2 linked regions of the Stegostoma tigrinum genome follow. The protein of the gene in region 2 interacts with the protein of the main gene of each other region in a pairwise test. Links are inferred from orthologs where the notes say so. Each region holds a gene or a part of one and is shown on either strand. Other genes may lie near its edges.

Region 1 (8,050 bases), on a different chromosome or scaffold from region 2:
ATATTGTATCAATTTGGTAATTGGATTATTTACAATCACTTTCCTCTAACTTCATATAGAATGATTTTTGATTTGATAACCCTTTACAAAATTTTTTGATACTGTCTTTGTCTTTTGCCAGGAGTGTTATTAAACTTTGTTCTTTTCTTGTCCGGTGCTGTCCTTTTTTGAAGAAAGTGGCACTCTTGGTGTAAATGGTTGTCACAAAGCACTTCTGAACACCTGATCTGTTACTCATCAACAGATTAGACTTGCCATTTTAACTACAAACAGTCCCTTGTCTTCATCTTATCTAAATCTAGATTCTCAATTCATTCATAATTACCCATTTCAAGCACTAATTTTTGATCATCTGATTTATATTCACATTGTTAAATCTGACCTTACTTATTGTGTAGCTAATTTGGTATATCCCATTATTGACTAGTTTCCTTAACTATATGTAACATTCAAACTCTTCCCATTAAAACCCATCTGGCTTTGCTACTTTTGTTTTTGTTGTTTTAATCTCGGCAGTTATACCAGCTATTTCACTGCAACTATCAGCCTTTGTACAACTACTTTGCAGAAGTAGGAAATGGAAGAAGATTTCCACTCAATGGTTGTGATTTTTATTTCTTAAAGCTGCTCCATGCTTCCCCATCTTGTTAATCTTACAGCCTTATCCACATACAGCCAAGTCTTAGTAGTGGTAACCATGTCACACCCTCCAAGTTGCATTCATGTCTACAATTGATCAATTTGGTATTTGCAGTTTAATGATCAACTATTTAGCCAGTGGTAAATTCACCACCTTCGATTGTCTGAACCAGTGTGATATGATTTTAAATAATGTTGACTATGTCAGTGCAACACCTTGATTTGAGAGGCTCCATGAAACCTCCAAGGTGACAAGTCAGGCAAGCAGTATGTCTAACTGGGAGTCTTGCTTTTTGTTAACGGGCAGTGACTTTCGGTTAAATAAAAGCAAACCTCCCAGTGACTATTGGTCACCATCTAGTAATGATTTGTCAGGCTGCACATAATGGTCAAGTGGGGATGTAATTTTTCAGCCCCAAAAAAAAAATTAACAGACGTGGTCTCTGCCATTTAATGTCGACCAACAACATTACTCTACTCTGACTTCTCGGTGGCCAATTAGGTACTGTGGCACAACCTTGTGGCCACTTGGTTTATTTTGGAAAAAAAATCAGCATGGTTACAACACAAGGTAATTGTTTAACTAAATTAAATCCTAAGTGCCTTAACTTCACTCATCCTGAAAACCTGAAAGGTCAGTTTTGTGCATGGCATTTTGATTCAGTTCTCTATGGAACCACTCTTGGTACTGTCCCATGAAAACACAGGTGATGTCACCTGTCCTTTTTGTGGCCTCATTCAAGTTGACTGTGTATTTACTTTCAGTTTGATATTCTGAAATCATTGCACTGTAGTACCACTTGGTTCAAATCAGGTGATCATTTTGCATAGAATTTGTGCTTACAAGCAGAACCCTGAGCTTCCAGGCATACTGTTTCAATTATCAATCTCTCTCTCTGACCTCTGTCCTTTAGTCTGAAAGTGCTAATGAAAGTTATCCATAAATTCAAGGGACAGCACTTTGCTTTTAAGTAATCACCCAACGAATATGTGGACTAAAGTGAGTTCTGCAGTGTGTGTAACTAGTTCAAAATGTTCTTTTAATAGTGTTAATAGTTCTGTTTGCACACTCACACCCTCTCCACATTTTGTCTAATGTGCAACAATTCATTCCTTTTGTCACTTTAATTTCATCTTCCACCTTCTCTCAGATCTTCCCTTTGTTACTTCACACCAACACTCTCTGCTTCTATACTTAAAGATGTTCCTAGTATTTTCTCATTCTGCCAAAAGTCCCATTGACCTGAAATATTAACTTTCCTCTTCCACAGAATAGAAGCAGCGTTGGACCGTTTGTCCCTTGGGAGCGAATCTGTCCTTCAGTACAATCACAGCAGATTTTAAACTTCAATTCTACCTTTTTGTCTTTCACCTTCCATCTTTCTCGATTGCCTGCATATCTAAATATTAGATGAGCCTTGAACATACTGAACTTGGACAGCCCTTTGAGTTGTAGCTGTAGGCTAGCTCCCGTATTGTGATTTCTGGCTGGTGAGGGTGGAGTTTTGAAGACCATAAGATACAACAGAAGTCCATTTCAGTTCATTTGAATCTGCTCCACTGTTCAACAAGATCATGGCTGATCTGATAATCCTTGACCATCCTTTTCCTCCATTTTCCCTAATACACTTCCCTTGCTGGTTTAAAAATCCCTCTGCCTCAAATATACTTATTGACCTGGCCTCCCCCCTCTCTGCTCTGAAGAATTCCATAGGTTTACTACCCTTTGAGATGAAATACTCATTTTTGCCCTAACTGGGTAATCCCTTACCATGGTATGCCTTCTAGTTCTAGACTCTCCCACATCTACCCTGTCAACTCCCCTAGGAATCTTGTATATTTCGATGAGTGCAGGCCTGAAATCCACAACACCTCATAAGATAATCCCTGCTGTACCTGAGAACAAGCTTGTGAACCTCCTAGATTGCCTCCAACGCCACGATATGCTTTCTTGGATGAGGGTCCTAAAGCTGTTGACTGTATGTTCTAGGTTGATCTGATGAGTGCCTTGTTGTTTTACCAAGACCTTTTTTTTGGACTCCATTGTATCTTACATTAAAGCTGCCTCTACCATATTACATCAGGTGCTGCCTAGGGCTAGAAGTTTATTCAGTTTAAGACACTTGCAGTGCAGTTATTTACCTGTTTCTCTGGCACTTTTAGGTCATTGAATCTTTTACTTAATTGTTCTACTTGTTAAACATTTTGGGCTTTTTCAGTCTTGCATTTCTTTCACACACTACTTTTGCATTGCTTTGACACATAAATACAATCTTGGCTGATCTTCCAACTCCATACCTTGTTTCTGCTTTTTCTTTCCCCCGTGCCATTGATTCCCTTTAGCTCTGCGAACTGTATCTGCCTCCTTAAACACTCAGTATTTTGGCCTCCGCTGCTTTCTGTGCACAAACAGTGGCATAACTTTTCTCATTGTACTTTTTTACTTTTAAGATTTTGTAGCTAGCTGTCTTCCTGACACTTCAGCCTTTGAATTTTAATAAAAAATTTTCCTCACTTTGATTTTACTTCCATTCAATGTTGCATTATTCTTTTATTTTGATACCATTTTTCATTTTCAAGTCTCCTCACTTAATCAGGGCAGTGAAAAATACATACTCCCATTGAGTAACTATTTCTTCCTTAACTCTGTCTCCAATTGAATGGAGTGGCTATGGGTCCCAGTTATACCTGCCTCTCTCGTAGGGTATGTAGAACATGTGTACTCGGCATATTTTCTCAACTCTTCATTAGTATGGCAATAACTGCATTATTGCTGCTTCCTGAGTTTGTCCCGAATTGGTAAAATAAATGTTAGTTTTCAGTATCCATATTTAACTTCATTTAGTCCATCCTTGCCCCTTCCTTGACTACTGTTTGCATTTCTGGGGATATGCTGTGCCCTTAAATCCATTACAAACCTACTAACTCCCACAGTCAGCTTGACTGTGTCAAGTCACTCTCCTCGACTCATTTGCATCTGTCTGAGGTCCAAGGCTGGGCTTGTAAGCACTGCTGCCTCACAGTACCAGAAGTTCACTTCCACTGTTGGGCAACTGTATGCAGTTTACACACCATCCCTGTTTCTTAGTGGGTTTCCTCTCATGGTGCAAAGATGTGAAGGTTAGATGGGTTTTTCATGTTAATTTTTCTGCACACTGCAGACATTGCTGGCTAGGTGGATTAGCTATGCGAAATGCAGGGTTACACAGCGATGGTAGGGGTAGCGTCTACGTGGACTTGGTGGGCTGAATGGCCTATGTCCACGTTGTAGGGATTTTTCTCTTCCCCGCCATCACTTCTAACACTTCCTCATCTCCATTCTCTCCCTTCTGACCCTACACTGCCTCTTGCAATTGCGTCTTCCCATCTCATTGTTCAAGGCCCAAACACCTTCCAGCTGAATCAGTGCTTTAAATTTCAATCTAGTCTACTGTTGCCTATTTACATGTGGTCTCTTTTACATTGGCGCAACCAAATGCAGGCTTGGTGACTGTTTAGCAGTGCACCTTATCTAAGAATGATCCTGCCCTTCCAATTGCTCGCCCTTTTCAACACCATCTTGCTGTCATTGCTGCAGTATGTTCCAATGAAGCTCATAACTAAATGGAGGAACAGAATCTCATTTCTACTTCCAAGCTTTCAATCAATTTTGATGATCACTTTTTAACCCCTTCCCCCCAACCCTAAGTTGTAATTATCCATTTTCTGTCAATATTACCATCCTCAGGCTCGAGGATACACGTTACCTCTATTCTTCTCTACCTCGTTTCTATTGGACATGTTGTGTGGTTTTATGGTGCAGCGACTATGCTGGGCTGTCGGTGGCGCTATATGCTGTACTACAACAGCGACTATGCCATGCTGTGGGTGGTGCTGTAGCCTGTACCGCAGTGACTCTGCCGGGCCGTGGGCGGCGCTGTACCCAGTACCGCAGTGACTGCCGGGCCGTGGGTGGCGCTGTACCGCAGTGACTCTGCCGGGCCGTGGGTGGCGCTGTACCGCAGTGACTGCCGGGCCGTGGGTGGCGCTGTACCGCAGTGACTGCCGGGCCGTGGGTGGCGCTGTACCGCAGTGACTCTGCCGGGCCGTGGGCGGCGCTGTATGTCACGGTCGCAGATTGCTGTTGCGGGGGGCTGATGGCTGGCCTGCTGTTTGCGGGATTGCGGAGCGGTTGTGAGTGAGTCCGGGGCTTTTGTGGCCGGAGGGCGGTATCTGGGGGACACGTCTGGTTCGTGTGCGGTTAAGCCGCCGGTTCAGCGCCTCCCAGGGTGAAGCGGACTTTAGTTTTGCGGAGGCGCCAGGAAGCCTTCGGAACCAAATAAAGTCCGTGCGAGTGGGGCACTATCCCTGGTTTGGGGGTTCAATCGGGCGGAAGGAGGCCATTCGGCCCACCGAGTCTGTACCGACCCTCCAAAGAGCTGACCACCCAGGCATGTGCAAACTGCCCGCTGTCGCCCGAGGCCGGAGTCGAACCTGGGCACTCCATACCGTGAGACAGTTAACTACTGTACAGTGCGGGGCAGATAAAAACATTGGGGTTTTTGTTAATGATCTGGGATTTTTAAAGAAAAGGAGAGTACACTGTGGGAGGGTGTGAGAGGAAGTTTACTGCTGCCTGGAAGAGCCTGGCAGTTGGCTAAGGCTGAAAGTCTTGACCTGCAACTTTCCTAGTAACAAGAGAATCTCAATCTCCCTCAGCATTCATGGCCTGGACAATAATTAGCAGAACCCACCATCCACAAGGCATAAGTCGAGTCAAATTCCATGAGTAATGGAATACCCCACACTTGCCTAGATGGCTGCAGCTTCAACAACACTCAAGGAGCTCGACACCGTCCAGGACAGAGCCTGGCACCACGTTCCAAATCCCTCCAGTACTGACACTTAGTAGCAGCAGCGTGCATTTCTTCCGGAATACGCTGCAGCAACTCTCCCAGACTGCAATGACTGCACCTTCCAAACCTACATCCTTTACCACCTGGAAGTGTCACCTGTAAGACTTGGAAATGTGTTGCTGTTCCTTCAGCATCAGTGAGTCAAAATTCTAGAAGTTGCTTCGATCAGTGTCCCTACGCCACACATAGACTACAGTGATTCAAGAAGGTGTGATGATGCTGTGGCTTTAAGATGTTATTTTGTCCTGGTTTCTTTTAAGAGAGAGATTGAATGAGAGGCTCTGAAGTGGTTAGTGAAGGCTGCTTGAGTAAACAACTTGGGAGACCTTGGATTTTGTTTTAAAAAACAGCTTGAATGTATGCAAGATAATAAAATGTGAGGCTGGATGAACACAACAGGCCCAGCAGCATCTCAGGAGCATAAAAGCTGACGTTTCGGGCCTAGACCCTTCATCAGCTCTCTGATGAAGGGTTTAGGCCCGAAACGTCAGCTTTTATGCTCCTGAGATGCTGCTGGGCCTGCTGTGTTCATCCAGCCTCACGTTTTATTATCATGGATTCTCCAGAATCTGCAGTTCCCATTATCATTGAACGTATGCAGCCAGCTCTCTCAGATCAGGATTTCTGGGTTTTGGTTTCTCAATAGCATCAGAAACTGTTGGGGTCTCAATTGAGTTGGAAGCTTCAGTAAATGTCTCCTGGCTGCTTTGAATTTTCTCTTGATGTTTCTTTCCTCCTGGATTGTGAGAATATATTTCTGAATTTCCCCTTTCACCAATGGTTGTGTTTGTGGGGTGTTACATATCGGAACAGTGAGTTAATAATAGTTACGCATCTGTTATTTGGTTAAGTCATCCAATAGAGCTACGTTATTATAAGTTCTTCATTTTGTTTGTATTTTAACTATAGGCTTTAAATAAATTTTTTTTTGCTTAATGTCAAATATTTATAGTCAGCACAGATTTGTGAAGGGAAGGTCGTGCCTCACAAACCTTATTGAGTTCTTTGAGAAGGTGACCAAACAGGTAGATGAGAGTAAACCGGTTGATGTGGTGTATATGGATTTCAGGAAGGCTGTCGATAAGGTTCCCCACAATAGGCTATTGTACAAAATGCGGAGGAATGGAATTGTGGGAGATATAGCAGTTTGGATGGGAAATTGGCTTGCTGAAAGAAGACAGAGGGTGGTAGTTGATGGGAAATGTTCATCCTGGAGACCAGTTACTAGTGGTGTACTGCAAGGGTCGGTGTTGGGTCCACTGCTGTTTGTCATTTTTATAAATGACCTGGATGAGAAGGATGGGTTAGTAAATTTGCAGATGACACTAAGGTAGGTGGAGTTGTGGACAGTGACGAAGGATGCTGTAGGTTGCAGAGAGACATAGATAAGCTGCAGAGCTGGGCTGAGAGGTGGCAAATGGAGTTTAATGCAGACAAGTGTGAGGTGATGCACTTTGGTAGGTGTAACCGGAAGGCAAAGTACTGGGCTAATGGTAAGATTCTTAGTAGTGTAGGTGAGCAGAGAGATCTCGGTGTCCATGTACACAGATCCTTGAAAGTTGCCACCCAGGTTGACAGGGCTGTTAAGAAGGCATACAGTGTTTTAGCTTTTATTAATAGAGGGATCGAGTTCCGGAACCAAGAGGTTATGGTGAAGCTGTACAAAACTCTGGTGCGGCCGCACTTGGAGTATTGTGTACAGTTCTGGTCACCACATTATAAGAAGGATGTGGAAGCTTTGGAAAGGGTGCAGAGGAGATTTACTAGGATGTTGCCTGGTATGGAGGGAAGGTCTTATGAGGAAAGGCTGAGGGACTTGAGGCTGTTTTCATTAGAGAGAAGAAGGTTGAGAGGTGACTTAATTGAAACATATAAAATAATCAGAGGGTTAGATAGGATGGATAGGGTGGTGACAGCGAGCATGAGGGGGCGTAGCTTTAAATTGAGGGGTGAAAGATATAGGACAAATGTCAGATGTAGTTTCTTTTCTCAGAGAGTAGTAAGGGAATGGAAGGCTTTGCCTGCAACAGTAGTAGATTCGCCAACTTTAGGTACATTTAAGTTGTCATTGGACAAGCATATGGACGTACATGGAATAGTGTAGGTTAGATGGGCTTGAGATCGGTATGACAGGTCGGCACAACATCGAGGGCCAAAGGGCCTGTACTGTGCTGTAATGTTCTATGTTCTATATTTGACCAGTCCCATTACAACGGAACATAGCCCTTCATGTTTGCCTTTAAAATAAGAAAAAGTTAGGGTCTACCTTCTTAAAATAATTTGAGGGGTTTGGTCTTATCCATAATACGGCTTGCCTTCTTCAGGGCATTTAGGGATGGACAATAAATTTTGGCCCAATCAGCGATGCCGGAAATAAATGCACTAAAAACCAGCTAGTTTTCTGCTGATATCACACAGTCGTAATTGGAATTGGGGTTGATGTGGTTGGATTTCCTCTCATGAGTTTCTTCCTTCGCCACTGCATCTTTGCACCAGAGTGGAATTTGGGGTTGCAA
Region 2 (7,504 bases):
CCCCTCCCCCCTCCCCTCCCCTCCCCTCCCCTCTCCTCTCTTCTCTCTCTCTCTCTCTCTCCCCCCTCCCAGCTGAGTCCCTACCTGGGTAACTGTGACTAGAGCAGCGCTGACAATACCACAAATAAACGCCGCTGCGTAAACCGAGAACTCCAGGCACAGAAGGAGAGAAAACGCCATGTTCCTAACACAGATCACAGAAACACGGAACTGCAAGAAGTTTTAGTTTTCAGAGGGGAGGGGATCTGTGTTCGTGGTACAGCCCCTTCCCTCACCTGACATTCATTTGCTGAATGACACAGCCAGTCCAACCCCCAGACTCTCCAATTTGCCAATTGCAAAGCTCACTTTGCATTTTGCATTCCCAGGGGTTCACGCACGAAATGGCACAAAAGTTGTTGATTTTATTTCCTGCACAGTGTCACCGCTGGGTAGGGTACTTGCGTGCCCGGGGAGTGGGGCTCACCTCTCTGTGTTGGGGGGTCTGGGAACCACAGGCTAGCCTTAAGGCTGAAACGCACTGCCAGTGCTGAGGGAATGGGCACTGTCAGAGGGCCAGTGCCGAGGGAGCGGGCGCTGGCGGAGGGTCAGTGCCGAGGGAGCGGGCACTGTCGGAGGGTCAGTGCTGAGGCAGTGCTGCACTGTCGGAGGGTCAGTGCCGAGGGAGTGGGCACTGTCGGAGGGTCAGTGCTGAGGAAGCGGACACTGTTGGAGCGTCAGTGCTGAGGGAGCGGGCACTGTCAGAGGGTCAGTGCTGAGGGAGTGGGCACTGTCAGAGGGTCAGTGCTGAGGGAGCGGTCACTGTCAGTGGGTCAGTGCTGAGGGAGCGGGCACTGTCGGAGGGTCAGTGCTGAGGCAGTGCCGCACTGTCGGAGGGTCATTGCTGAGGGAGTGGGCACTGTTAGAGGGTCAGTGCTGAGGGAGCGGGCACTGTCGGAGGGTCAGTGCTGAGGAAGCGGACACTGTTGGAGCGTCAGTGCTGAGGGAGCGGGCACTGTCAGAGGGTCAGTGCTGAGGGAGCGGTCACTGTCAGTGGGTCAGTGCTGAGGTAGCGGGCACTGTCAGTGGGTCAGTGCTGAGGGAGCGGGCACTGTCGGAGGGTCAGTGCTGAGGCAGTGCCGCACTGTCGGAGGGTCATTGCTGAGGGAGTGGGCACTGTTAGAGGGTCAGTGCTGAGGGAGCGGGCACTGTCGGAGGGTCAGTGCTGAGGGAGCGGACACTTTCGGAGCGTCAGTGCTGAGGGAGCGGGCACTGTCGGAGGGTCAGTGCTGAGAGGGTGCCGCACTGTCAGAGGGTAAGTGCTGAGGGAGCGGGCACTGTCGGAGCGTCAGTGCTGAGGGAGCGGGCACTGTCGGAGCGTCAGTGCTGAGGGAGCGGGCACTGTCGGAGGGTCAGTGCTGAGGGAGCGGGCACTGTCGGAGGGTCAGTGCTGAGGCAGTGCTGCACTGTCGGAGGGTCATTGCTGAGGGAGTGGGCACTGTCGGAGGGTCAGCGCTGAGGGAGCGGACACTGTTGGAGCGTCAGTGCTGAGGGAGCGGGCACTGTCGGAGGGTCAGTGCTGAGAGGGTGCCGCACTGTCAGAGGGTCAGTGCTGAGGGAGCGGTCATTGTCAGAGGGTCAGTGCTGAGGGAGCGGTCACTGTCAGTGGGTCAGTGCTGAGGTAGCGGGCACTGTCAGTGGGTCAGTGCTGAGGGAGCGGGCACTGTCTGTGGGTCAGTGCTGAGGGAGTGGGCACTTCGGTGGGTCAGTGCTGAGGTAGCGGGCACTGTCAGAGGGTCAGTGCTGAGGGAATGGGCACTGTCCATGGGTCAGTGCTGAGGGAGCGGGCACTGTCGGACGGTCAGTGCTGAGGGAGCGGTCACTGTCAGTGGGTCAGTGCTGAGGGACTGGGCTCTGTCAGTGGGTCCGTGCTGAGGGAGCTCTTTACTGTCAGAAATACAGTCTTTCGATTGTCACCATCAGCTCAGGACTATCCTTGCAGACAGCAGTAAAATGATTCAGTCTCCAACAATGTGCCTCTCCGTCAGCATGAACAGATTCAGCAGGAGAGGGCTTTGCCACAGGACAGGACATGTGAACAGGTACAAATGGAAGGTGTTGGAACATGGAAATTCTGGACAATTCAGCTCTCTGATTCCTGAACAGTCAATCAGCAAAGCTGCAACCAGGCGCACAGTTCTAATAAACCCTAAAACGGAGCAGAGATAAGGTCTTCAGTCCCACAAGCCTGTTCCACCATTCCACGAGATCATGGCCAATCTACGTCTGGACCATTTTCCTCATGCTCCCCATATTCCTTGATGTCTTTTACAGCTAGAAACCATGAACACACACAGTGATTGGGCATCCACATTCTTCTCGCTTGGAGGATCGCAAAGAGTGAGCTGTCTTCTGAATCTGGAAGAGGAACTTTCCACTTGAAGAGAACCATCTCCTAGAATCATTGATTCATGGAGTTTTCATGGGTTAGAAAGTGGCCCTTCGACCCGCTGTATCCGTGCTGGCCATCGAACAGCCACCCATTTAATCCCATTTTTTAGCATACAAATAAAACTTCCCGCGGATCCTCACCCTGGCGACTCTTCAGAACATTGCGGTCAGAAGTTCTGAAGAAGGGTCACTAGACCAGATCATTAATGCAGCCTCTCTCTGCACAGATGCTGCCAGACCGGCTCTGTTTCGCCAGCAACTTCTCTTTTTGTTCCAGCATTTGCTCCATAGCCTCATATACCGTGGTATCCTCTACATTGTGGGTGTGTGGGTTCTGGGGTGGCAAGGGGTGGGGTGGGGGACGGTTGTGGGAATGTAGGGCTGGAGGGCTCGTGCTGGGCACAGCTTTTAAAGGGGAGTATTTGGGGGTGGGAGAGGAATGAATGGGCCGAATGGATTGCTTCCTGTTCCAAATGGAATTATGTTGATACCACCTGCCTGGCGTAACCTAACAGCAAAACAACAAAACAGCAGAAGAAAGGAGTGGGGTAGGCCATTCAGCCCTTCAAGCTTGTTCTGCCATTCAATGATATTAGGGCTGATAGGGTCAGAAAGATATACAGCTTAGAATCAGGCCTTTTGGTCCAACATATCAATGCCGACCAGATATCCTAAGTTAATTTAGTCCTATTTACCAGCATTTGGCCCGTATCCCCTACAAACCCTTCCTATTCATGTGCCTATTCCTATTTGTGAAAAAGTTGCCTCTTAGGTCTCTTTTAAATCTTTCCCCTCTCACCTTTAATCTATGTCCTCTAGTTTTGAACTCCCCCACCCTGGCTCTTCACCCTATCCATGCCCCTCATGATTTTATAAACCTCAGCCTCTGATGCTCCAGGGAAAATAGCCCCAGCCTATTGAACCTCTTACTTGTTCGCACAGAGGGTGGTGCATGTATGGAATGAGCTGCCAGAGGAAGTGGTGGAGGCTGGTACAGTTACAACATTTAAAAGGCATCTGGATGGGTATCTAAGTAGGAAGGGTTTAGAGGGATATGGGCCAAATGCTGGCAAACGGGAACTATCTTAATTTAGGATATTTGGTCAACATGGGTGAGTTGTACTGCAGGGTCTGTTTACTATAGGTGTGAGCCGGAAAAGCGCAGCTGGTCAGACAGCATCGGTGGGGCACATAGGTGAACATTTTGGGCCAAAAACCCTTTGCCAGGTTGCTTTTCCAGCCTCACACCTGTAGACTCTGGCTTCCAGCATCTGTGGTCCTTATTGTCCCTGGCTCTGTTTCAGTGTTGTGCCTCTCTGTGACTCTCCCTGCAGCTGAAACCCTCCAGTCCTGTGGCACATGGCCTATTTCCCAAATGCCTGCCTTTTGACCCATTGCCCAGAGGAAGGAGACGCACAGCTGGAAGCAGGCAGAGGTAGTCAGGGAGAAGGTTTTGAAATAGCGGGAACTGCAGATGCTGGGGAATCTGAGATGACAAGGCGTAGAGCTGGACGAGCACTGCAGGCCAAGCAGCATCACAGGAGCAGGAAGGCTGGCGTTTCGGACTTGGACCCTTTCTGAAGAGGGTCTAGGCCCAAGACATCAGCTTTCCTGCTCCTCTGATGCTGCTTGGCCTGCTGTGTTCGTCCAGCTCTACACCTTGTTGTCTAGGGAGAAGTTTTTGGAGCTTTTGACATGGTCCTGATGATCCTGTCTCTCCAGCTCTGATGAAGGGTCTAGGCCCGAAACATCAGCTTTTGTGCTCCTGAGATGCTGCTGGGCCTGCTGTGTTCATCCAGCCTCACATTTTATTATCTTGGATTCTCCAGCATCTGCAGTTCCCATTATCTCTCCAGCTTTTAGCTCTGGTTCAGTCTAGGGGTGGTGGTCGGCTACTGTCAATCATCACAAAGGCCACGCCCCCTGGGTTTACGACAGTGCCGTCAGTCAGGCGGCTCTCTCTCTCTTCGGCGCCCCGGCGACATGGCGGACGGGGTAAGTGCTGGCTCCCGGTTACAATCCGCGGTGTATCGGCGCCATCCCGGCTCCGCGAACCCGGCTGGCGGTCCCGAAAGCTCGGCGGGCCTTTCTCACTGAGCCGTGTGCCTTCATTTCCCGCAGATCCTGTACTCGTACCCGGAGAACTGGCGGGCCTACAAGGCGCTGATCGCCGCCCAGTACAGCGGCTCCAAGCTGCGGCTGCAGAGCGGGCCGCCGCATTTCACCTTCGGACAGACCAACAGGAGCGCCGCCTTCCTGCACAAGTTCCCCCTCGGCAAGGTCAGTCTGTCGGGGCGGGACAGGGGATCCGGAGCAAGCCCCGGGCTGAGGGGAGATCGCAACCCACCCCCCACCCCCTCCATCCCCGTAACACCTCGCCTCCCCACCTCCAAATCACCCCCTGCCTCCCCACCCCGATACCCCTCTCCACACACCCCCCCTCACTGCCCCCCTCGTCCCTGTCCCCCCCCCCATTCGTCCCTGTCCCCCCCCCATTCGTCCCTGTCCCCCCCCCCATTCGTCCCTGTCCCCCCCCCATTCGTCCCTGTCCCCCCCCCCATTCGTCCCTGTCCCCCCCCCCAATCTCGTCCCTGTCCCCCCCCCCAATTCGTCCTGTCCCCCCCCCAATTCGTCCCTGTCCCCCCCCCCCATTCGTCCCTGTCCCCCCCCCCCATTCGTCCCTGTCTCCCCCCCCCCATTCGTCCCTGTCCCCCCCCCCCATTCGTCCCTGTCCCCCCCATTCGTCCCTGTCCCCCCCCATTCGTCCCTGTCCCCCCCCATTCGTCCCTGCCCCCCCCCCCATTCGTCCCTGCCCCCCCCCATTCGTCCCTGCCCCCCCCCATTCGTCCCTGCCCCCCCCCATTCGTCCCTGCCCCCCCCCCATTCGTCCCTGCCCCCCCCATTCGTCCCTGCCCCCCCATTCCGTCCCTGCCACTCGCCCCTATGTCTCCATCCTCACCCGCCCCCAACTCCCCCCTTGTCCCCAGCACCGATACCCTCCTATCGCCCACATCCTCACACTTAATCCCCCCCCCATCAGCCCACCCTTAATTTGCTCCCCCATCCTGCTGCGCTCCCCCCCCACCTGCCATCACGCCAATAGTAAATCACTTTTCATTCACTTACAAAACAATACCGTCACTGTAGAGTCATGGAGGTTTTCAGCATGGAAACAGGCCCTTTGGTCCTCCTTCACCATTCCACCCAGTTTTTGCAATTAATCTAGTTAAGTTGCCTGCATTTGGTCCATATCCCTCCCCATACATTTCTTCGATGTCAAAATTGTACTCACGTCCACTCCTACCTCTGGCAGCCCATTCTAGACACTGACCACTGTGTTGAAAAAATTGCCTCTCTGGACCCTTTTGTGTATCTTTCCTCTCACCTTAAACCTGTGCCCTGTAGTTTTAGACTCCCCATGGGGAGAAGCTGTTGGCTACCTTCTGTATCAATGCCTCAAGGATTTTATAGACCTCCATAAAGTCATCCCTCAGTCTCCTACCCCAGGGAAAACAGCCCCAGCTTGTCCAGCCTCTCCTTATAACTCAAACCTTCAGCCTAGGCAGCATCCTAGTAAATATTTCCTGCTCTCTTTCTGGTTTAATAATATCCTTTCTATAGTAGGGCAGCTAGAACTGCACATGGTACTCCAAGTGTGTCCCTACTAAAGTTTTGTACAGATCCAACAAGATTGTCTTGAATATTCAGCCCTGCTGTGAAGGGATTATTGGGGGAAGGGGGACTGTCCACTTCTCTGTTGTATGGTATTATATTCCATCACCATGTCTTTTTTTTGGCCTAAATGCCTTTTGGAGGAGGCGATGGCAAGCTCTCATGACCCTCTGCTGTCTGTGGAGTGTAGGGACATACGCGGTTTTGTTAGGAAAAGAGTTCTAGGATTTTGATCCAGCAACAATGTAGGATCAACGGATATATTTCTGAATTATTGTGATGTGTCTTGGAGGGTACTCCCATTTATCTGCTCCCCTTGCCCTTCTCAGTGGTGGGGGGCCGTGTCACAGATTTTAAATATGTGTGGAGTTTGCTACTGTTCACTCCTTGCCCCCATTTTTCAGTGATTTTTAATGTATATCCCTGCCAGCACACCAATCCCGAATTATTGGAGTCTCACATTTTGGCTGTTTGGATGTGGAGCAGGATTGTCTGACGTCGAGTGGACCTGCCTGTCTCAAATCCTGGCAGGCTCAGGAGCAGGGATAGTGCTTGATGCTGCCATGACCTCACTGGATCAGGGCAATCTGTTGGTGTCAGCAACATGTCAGCGAGAGTGTGAATTGAACCTAGTTGTTAGTGACGGATGAATGACTGTGCTATGTGCAGCCTGCTGTCGGCGTGGCTCAAGTAACAACACTCTCTCCCTGCAGTCAGAACCGTCTCAGTTGTAGACTGGGGGCCATTTGGTGCTTTGAGTCTATTCCATTGTTATTCAGTGGGTGATTTGCACTTCATCCCCCAATAATGGGCACCTGGGGGTTAGAGGCATGGGTGGAATATAAGTGCGGAAGTGTCACCACACCTGTACGAGGTAATGGTGAGCTTGAACCTGGAGTCTCGTGTACAGTTTTGGTCTCCTTACTTAAAGAGGAATGTAATTGCATTGGATGCAGTTCAAAGAAGGTTCACTTGGCTCATTCCTGAGATGAAGGAAAGGTTCAGTAGGTTGGCCCTTTACTCAAGAGTTTGAAAGAATGAGAGGTGATCTTGTTGGAACACTCAAGATTGTGAGAGGGGTTTGATGGGGCGGATTCTGAGAAAATTCTGGGAAGGGGAATGAAGAAGGCGCAGCTCCACAATATGGGGGTCTTCTGTTTACGATGGAGTTGAGGGCATTTCCTCCAAGGGTTGGGGTCTGGCTCTGGCTGCTAATCTCAGCCTTGAATATATTTTTGTTTTTGATCAACAATGGAGTCAAGGGTTGTGAGTGGGCAGACAAGGTGGAGCTGAGTCCGCAGTATGAGTGGGCATGGATTGTCCAGCTGGTTCAAGGGACTTGATGGCCTGGTGCTCTTGTTTGCCATATCCATTCAGTATCAGTTGACCTCTGCCACCCTTT

Evidence for each region. The genes of interacting proteins can lie anywhere in the genome.
Region 1: the proteins of eef1g (region 2) and ech1 interact in a two-hybrid assay, tested with the Homo sapiens proteins (2 studies listed by BioGRID and IntAct). The link is inferred for Stegostoma tigrinum from reciprocal best matches to the Homo sapiens genes EEF1G and ECH1.

The regions. Positions count from the first base shown.
Region 1 is NC_081392.1:7,500,930-7,508,979, reverse strand, and holds the start of ech1 (delta(3,5)-Delta(2,4)-dienoyl-CoA isomerase, mitochondrial), read left to right. Parts: upstream 1-4,689; 5' UTR 4,690-4,775; coding exon 4,776-4,812; exon of another isoform or gene 4,813-4,816; intron 4,817-4,842; exon of another isoform or gene 4,843-5,645; coding exon of another isoform or gene 5,646-5,670; intron 5,671-8,050. UniProt on the Homo sapiens protein: Isomerization of 3-trans,5-cis-dienoyl-CoA to 2-trans,4-trans-dienoyl-CoA.
Region 2 is NC_081395.1:5,755,133-5,762,636, forward strand, and holds the start of eef1g (elongation factor 1-gamma), read left to right. Parts: upstream 1-4,324; 5' UTR 4,325-4,413; coding exon 4,414-4,425; intron 4,426-4,551; coding exon 4,552-4,710; intron 4,711-7,504. Other genes in the region: transmembrane protein 179B-like, read right to left, coding at 85-180. UniProt on the Homo sapiens protein: Probably plays a role in anchoring the complex to other cellular components.